Schizosaccharomyces pombe: one gene and its partner. The protein of the gene in region 2 interacts with the protein of the main gene of each other region in a pairwise test. Each region holds a gene or a part of one and is shown on either strand. Other genes may lie near its edges. The genes, in order: hrs1 and kms1.

Region 1 (3,600 bases), on a different chromosome or scaffold from region 2:
TAACAGAACTTACTTTTTAGATTACCGCTCTTTTTGATTGCAGAAAATACGATTTTAATATCTTTATTTAATACTTACAATATTGATGAGATAACAATCAAATAATACAATAATTATTATTGAGCTATAGGAATATTTAATCGTATTTAAGTAACTTTTTCAAAACTGATACCATTTCCTCACGTGGCACAAGCTGACCTTCATCGCTATTTTCTTTTAAACCCATTTGTTTAATACGAACAGATCCCTTTGCAAACTCATCTTGACCCAAAATTACAGCAAAAGGTACGTCGAATTTATCGGCGGCGTCAAATTGTTGACGTGGTTTGGGTTTCACTTTGTAAAGAAATTCTGCTTTAATGCCATTTGCCCAAAGGTCTTTACAAACAGACATACGCTCTTTCAAAAAGCCGGTCCATTCTTTTCCACCTCCAAATGCCATAACGAAAACATCAACATCATTTGCACGGATATCCTCATCAGGAATTTTTGATCTAAGAATTGAAAAAATCCTCTCTAAACCAAGGCTAATGCCAACACAAGGGATTTTGGCGTTTTTCTTTGCAGCAAACATTCCAACTAAATTGTCATAACGTCCACCAGCAGCAATCGAACCAACGCCAATAGAGTCATCATTGGAACGATCTGCTTCAGGATCAGCAGATTTTTTCTTTTCCGCCGAACTCTTAATCTTTGGAGCAGAAGCCTCTGTTACTGCTTCGTAAATGATACCAGTATAATAATCGAGACCACGCGCTAGAGACATATCAAATGAAAACCTATCTAACACTCCAAAAGCTTCCAAATAATCAAATAAAAGACGCATGTCGTTAAATGCAGCAACAGCCGAGCTATTGCTTGATAGTAAACTATCGGCTTCAAGCTTATCTAAAAGAGAGCGGTCGCCTTTTAATAACACATACTCCTTAATTTTATCTGCCACCTCCTCTTTAAGTCCTTTTTCAACCACCATTTCACGTCTGACATCTTCCCAAGGGAGTTTATCTAGCTTGTCCACAGCACTGGAAATGGTACGAATTTTGTCATCCGGTACACCACAAACAGTAAAAATGCCATCCAAAATTTTTCGATGATTAAGCTTGATAGTATAATTTCCAACTTCTAATGCATCTAATGCTTCCACTAAAACCTTTAAAGCTTCAGAATCGGGAATCATAGGATCGTAGTTGCCAGCGATATCAAAATCGCATTGATAAAATTCACGCATACGGCCTTTTGTCATAGCTGGCTGATCTCTTCGATAAACCTTTGCAATATGGAATCGCTTAATACTCGTAACTTTGGGATTCATAGCTAACCAACGAGCAAATGGAACAGTCAAGTCGTATCTCAAAGAACAAAGCTCTCCACCTTGATCTTTCAAATCGTAAATTAGCTTGCTGTCTTCTCCATATTTTCCGGAAAGAATTTCTTTCAATTCGAACACTGGCGTATCGAGTGTTACACCACCATGACGCTTGAATATCTCTGTGACAGTTGAAAAAATGTGCTCACGTAAAACAACATCTTTGTCACACCAATCTTTAGTACCCTTCGGAGTTTTCAGTGTAAAAGATGTGTCTTTTTTCTTTCCTGATACTTCCGAACCCCCAAGTTTGAGGTTTTTCAGTTGAAGTAATTTAGCAACTTCTTTATCAATGTCCTCTTTAGAGGCGCCTTGACTTTTCAAAGATCGAACAAGATTTCCTTGTGAAGTTATTCTTTCATTTATATCTACTAGAGAATCAGCCATAGTTCTCAAGAAACGCCAATTTAAGAGGCTAGACGAAAATTTGGTGGTGAATAGGTTTTTGGTAAAAACAAACATGCACTAACTGAAAATGCAAATCTCAGTATTACATCCATTTAAATACATTTTACGGTGATTGAAGGACTAATGAAACCATTTGTCATGTTGATTAAATAACCAAGAAAAAAATATAGAACCTTGGATAATGAAACATTGAAAATTTTTTGGATTTTATGTTATGCAAACCAAGTGGGATAATTTCATTTGAAAATAAAAACTAGTTATTATATATTTTTTATAAATTTAAAAACCTAATATTTGTGAAATGACAAGTTCTATAAGTAAAAATTTAATATCAAAAAACCTTTTAAAATATGGACTTTTTTAAAATAGTAAAAACACTCAAAAAAATCAAAAATAATGTATTTTAATATTTTAGGATTTAAATCATTACAAAACCCATTCCACTAGGCCTCGAATAATCAACACTTTTAGAAGCATCGATTCCTCCAGGAATTTTTGGACAGTTATAATTATAGATGTAATAGTTCAAAAAACCGTCTCCTTCTCCAAATTTTAGGTCCTTCAAGAATAGATTGTTATCCAAAACCGTAACAGCATTGAATACATCAAAGTGGAACTGTTTTGAATTATTAGCAAGTAATAAAACCATATAAACTTACCTTTTTAGCCAATATAAGAGCATCATTAACTATCAATTTACAACGTTCAACGAATGCCAACTGTGATTCAGAAGATAAGTCTTTTGGACAAGAATCAGAGGCATAGTAGTACAAGTATGCAGCTTGAATATCTTTGTATTTTGGGTTTCCTATTACAGTTGAGGGTAAAGAGTAAAACGAAAAAAAATCGGTAATTTTCTTGGACTCTGGATTCTCCACAACGTAACTCCAAACAACAGGGCCACTTGAAACCTTGTCAGTGTACAAAAACCAATGTCGCACTTCCTCTTCCGAAAATAAGTGGGCAAGTTCGAAACGTTCCATGTATTGAGATAACAGCGACTGAACGGCAGGTACATCTTTCAACTCCATCGGACGTAAACCCGGGGTCTGAGTATTTGGAGGTAAATGATATTTTGCAGTCTCCTTTTTCTCCGTTGACCCCAAGGGAAAAGGTGCGAATCCTATATCGTACAGTTTCTTCCAGTTTAAACTACGATGCATATAACGAGACAAACTCACGGGACTGGGTAATAATACACCGGCTGTATAAACAGCTTGCCAAACATTCTCAAGATGACATCTACGTGTGACTTCTTTAATTAATAAAGGAGTAAGGCGCTTGCTTCTAAGTTTTTTATGTATGCACAAGAAGTTCACTTCAGCACATTTCTTAATAATTTTGTCACGAACCCTAATACTTAAAGGAACAGCAGAAATGAAAGCTACCAACTTACGAGAGGACTTTACTCGTACTCCGACGTGCCATTCTTTTACATATCCAGGGGGCATAAGGGCCCACCTGAGAAACTCTGAGATGTATGCAAACCGAAGCATCGCCGTAGCATCCTCGACATAATTCTCAGTTAAGAGTTCATGAACCTCAGATAACTATAGAAATGTCAGCAAGTTTTGCTTCTTAATACGTAGCAGAAAACATCAAACTACACTAACCTCATTGTCGTTTGTTACATCAATAGTTGCCCACTCAAACTCTTTTAGCAAACGATAAGGTTCTCTAGGAACCTGGTTTATATCGGTATTGGGATCTATTGGGCCTTCTTGAGTACATTCATCATCTATTATGGTAAGCATTAATATGTATAAAAGAATCTCAGAGTATATTTCAACAAACCAGGATAGGCATACCAAACTTAGGAACTGGCT
Region 2 (4,140 bases):
AGATATCCAAACAATTCGGAGAGCTTACCAAAAGAAATCACTGTATCGACGAAGAACTTCACGAGTGTTAGAAGAATCAGATATAATATAATTATTATGGCGATAGAAAAAGTAACCACTAGGCTCAAGGTCAATGTCAACATTCATTTCCAAACTAGCGGGAAATGAAGTTGAACTGGAAGCCAATCTAAACGAACTATGTCTACTGTTTGACAGTAACGGCTGAGTGGAAGGGGAAAGGCGATTAGGAATCTTCGAAAAGGGCTTTCTAGGGGTAATAGCATTATCATCGACAGAAGAATCAACGGAAAATTTTGGAGGTTGTTGCGAATGTAAGTTACCTGCTTCTAAAGTCGAAGGTGCAATGCTGCTGACAGTTGAAGAAGGATAGGAAAAGAATCCTTTCGGCTGCTTTTGAATATCAGGAAACGAACGGATGATGCTTTGCTGAGCGTGAGGGAGGGATTTATTGGAGACGTCGTCATCCTCTTGTTCTAAAATTTTTGATTCATTAATGGAAGGGACAATGTTGGATGAAAGATTCAAGGCGGTTGTTGAAGCAGGAGGAGAATTATTAGGAAAAAGAGGGGTTTCATTATCAGAACTACGATTGAAAAGTTCCGGATTAAAACGCTGCAAAATGGGCAGGACTAAGGAGGAGGAAGTAAGCAAAAAGACAAAAAAAAGCAAAGATAAAAAAAAGCCTTACCATTTCTTTGCTTGAAAATCTGTTCCAATGTGCTAGGAACACCTAATTGATAACAGGCAACCAAGGCAAGCAAAACGAAAAACTGAATTTGCCGTAAGGGTTGATTGCTTGATGATTCAATCAAGGTAAAGAACTCTTTCATTACATCTTGAGGAACATGAAATATATCAGAATAACTTTCTTCTTCTGGAAATAAGAGAACATTGTTTGCTTGAAACACGTCCCAATAATTTCGATATTGCAAAGGAATGGATGAATTACCTATAGACAAAAAAAAGAAAAAGAAAAAGGTTAGCATCATTACAGTAAGTAAGTAAAAAAGCAAGAAAGATGAAAAAAAAAAAAATCAAGCTAAAGAAACAAATCAATGATAGAATGCATCGATCCGTAAAATTAACTATTAATTGAGAAGGAAAAAACAGAAGAACAAAACTTTTACTAACCAATTGCTGTTTTATAATTTAAAGGCTTCACTGGTGAACCCCAATTACTGCTAGATGCCCATGGATCAGGCTCTAAAAATACATTATCGCCCATAAATGGAAACCCCGATGTTCTCTATCTTTTCGATGATCACTTCGTACAAAAGAGAAAGAAAACAAAGAAGATTTAATAAAATTTGAAAGCTAAGAGAGGTCCAATTGAAAATGTACAAATAATGCTGCTAGCAAAGAATTCTAAGCTGACAAACGAATTTTTCAAATCTTCACGAAAGTAAATGAATTTTCTTGTCTCTTGCACCAGTTAAAAATAAAATGATACGAGAAATAACTAAACTAGCGTACAGAGGTTTCAAAATATGTAAATGGCAGAAACCAGGTTTTACACGCTCAAACACATATACATATGGACAGTGTTAATTTCGCCAAAAAACCTTTGACGTCACATCGCTCGCTTCTCATAAAGTAACATGCTAACCAACTGTTTTGACTGAGTAGTAGCTATATAGAAAATGTAAATAGAAGACGTTTTCGAAAGAGTTGGCTAAATTGAAAGAAAAAGAAGTAATTTCTGTATTTATTGCACATTCTTGGATGAAAAAATCTGACCTTTTCTATGCATTTCTTTTTTTACGATCAAAACCTTGTATTTTTTAAAAAGTACAATATATACGACGTTGATTGACTAAAACGATTCAAGGATCAAAATATAAGTTAAGTAATCAACCAATCTTATTTGGAGTCTATGAAAGATTCTTGGGCGATCGTTGTTTGACCCGCAATTATAAATGCTGGCGTTCTAAATTACTGCAAATTCGCTTGAAGTTCTCAGAGGAATCGATCGATCTATAAAACAAATACGAATAGTTTCTACTTCACTAAAAATAATTTTTTTTTTTTTTTTTTTTAATTTGCGATTTCATTTGAATTATCACTTAAGTATGCACAGTACGACCAAGTTGTGGCCTTACTTTTCTAGCTGCTCTTAAATCAAGCATAAACATGATTTCTTCTAACATCTTTTTATCTATTTTCAAGTTTTATTTTAATCCGTCTTTTTCTGTGTACTTCTTTTTGGTCTCTCAAACCACTTGCTCAACAGCCCTACTGCCAAACCCTTGGATAGACCTTGCACGAAACCCAACTCACAACACTTAAGAAATGCGGTGAATTCGTGAACTGTTATGAAATGCACGCAGCTTTATGATAAATTCTAACAAAAAAATTCAAAACTGAATCCCATTCCCACTAGAATTGTGGTTCGTTTCCTGTATAATTATAATTGCCAGTTCCCTTTCCAAAATGCTAAATGAACGCGATTTTGACTTGATTTTCGATTCATATGACTTTAAACATGAAGGAAAAGTATGAAAAAAATTGATTGCTTATGCAGGTAGATCTTGTTTATTGAGTCAGAGACAAACTCTCAAGACTCTGGTTTTTCTCGCTTTACCCAATTACCAATAGGATAAACTATTAACAAAAAATTTTCTTAGGTTCATCTTTCCAACTTTTTGCCAATCATCAATGACCTACAACTCTTACATCCCGCTTCTGCACCACCTCTTTTGAGCGAATTCCAAAAACAATGTACACTCGAATTCGTACGGCAAAATGCAGATCTCTCTATTACAAAGGATAATTTTCGAGACGTATATAAAAAACTTACTGAAAACGAAGATGACTCTTTTGCGAATCAAGCTGAAAAGCCTTCGATGGAGCAACAGAATTCCAAAAATTCTATCAAAGAGGATGCAAATGAACACTCTGTCAATTCTGCACATTCAAAATCATCTTCTAATGCCTCTCCTGAATCCTTAAACCCTTCTCAAATGATGTCTAAGAGACTGTCCTTGCCGCCGATGTCTCAATTTACCGACAGTGATTTTGTCAATATTCTTCGAACTCCATTTGCCCAATCTACACCACTAAATAGGTAAGAATTTTTTTTTTAGAAAAGTCATTAAAATTCTAACAAGAAGAAATACGTCGTCCAGAAATACTGAGATGCCACTTGTTAGGAAGGATAAACCTGATTTTTCCAACGGGCACCATGATCTAATCAAGCAAATCACAGAACTCCAGGATATGTTAGATAAAGCTCGAGATCAAGCTAGAAAGAAATCTCGTACTGTAGATATTTTAGAAGGAAAAGTGAATGAACTTACCCACCAACTAAATATGGCAGATTCCAAATATAATGAATCTAAGGTAGCCAATAATTCGCAAAATAACCAAATTAAGACTCTTAAGGCTCAAAATCTAAACATTCACAAAAACTTTCAGAAAATTCAGTCAGAACTCATACAGACAAACTCTGGCCTCTACTCCACAAAAAAAGAGCTTTCAGCCTTGCAAGTTCGGTATGCCACTCTCTTGCGTAAGTTTACAGATCAGACTAAGAAAATTGAGGAATTAAGCTTGGCTGCATCTCGGTCAAGTGAAAATGAGAATACTATTCGTCGGCTTGCTTTAGAGAACCATGAATTAAAAAATTCTAATAATCAGCTAAACAACCACATAGATGATCTTACTAGAGAAAAACATTTAATTGCTTTGTCTAATAACCCAAAAGGAGATGAATTTTTATCACCCTCTAACCTTGACGAAATGGTTTACTCCAAAGAGGTTGGCCTTTCTTTCACTCAACCATCAGTTTGCATTTCTATTCCTGCGGTTGGAATGCGGGAAAGTGAAGAATTAAGAGAATTGGAATTTAAATGTAAACAACAAAAGAAAACGATAGAAGAATGCAAACACATAAGTCAATCATTGCAAAGCTCTCTTACTGCTGAAAGTTCGCGAAACAAAGAATTGGTTGCTGGATTTTTGATGCTTTCAGAGGAAATTGGTATCCAAAAATGGATTATTCAAAGCCTTTCCAAAATGTCTCCAACCCTAAACGACTTTTGTCGTCGGTACGATTCCTCTATGCCAACATATGAAGAATCAAGCCACGAATGCACAGTTCTTTCGAGCTTTAGTGACGAT

The links.
Region 1: the proteins of kms1 (region 2) and hrs1 interact in a two-hybrid assay, tested with the Schizosaccharomyces pombe proteins (one study listed by BioGRID).

The regions. Positions count from the first base shown.
Region 1 is NC_003423.3:3,455,393-3,458,992, reverse strand, and holds hrs1 (histidine--tRNA (His) ligase Hrs1), read right to left. Parts: upstream 1,829-3,600; coding exon 137-1,828; 3' UTR 81-136; downstream 1-80. Other genes in the region: myr1 (N-myristoyltransferase 1), read right to left, coding at 2,193-2,390, 2,434-3,324, 3,388-3,512, 3,583-3,600.
Region 2 is NC_003424.3:3,460,614-3,464,753, forward strand, and holds the start of kms1 (protein Kms1), read left to right. Parts: upstream 1-2,284; 5' UTR 2,285-2,451; coding exon 2,452-2,514; exon of another isoform or gene 2,515-2,645; coding exon 2,646-3,085; exon of another isoform or gene 3,086-3,131; coding exon 3,132-4,140. UniProt on the Schizosaccharomyces pombe protein: Has a role in karyogamy, recombination and segregation during meiosis. Although it has been shown to associate with the spindle pole body it is unlikely to be involved in its formation or maintenance.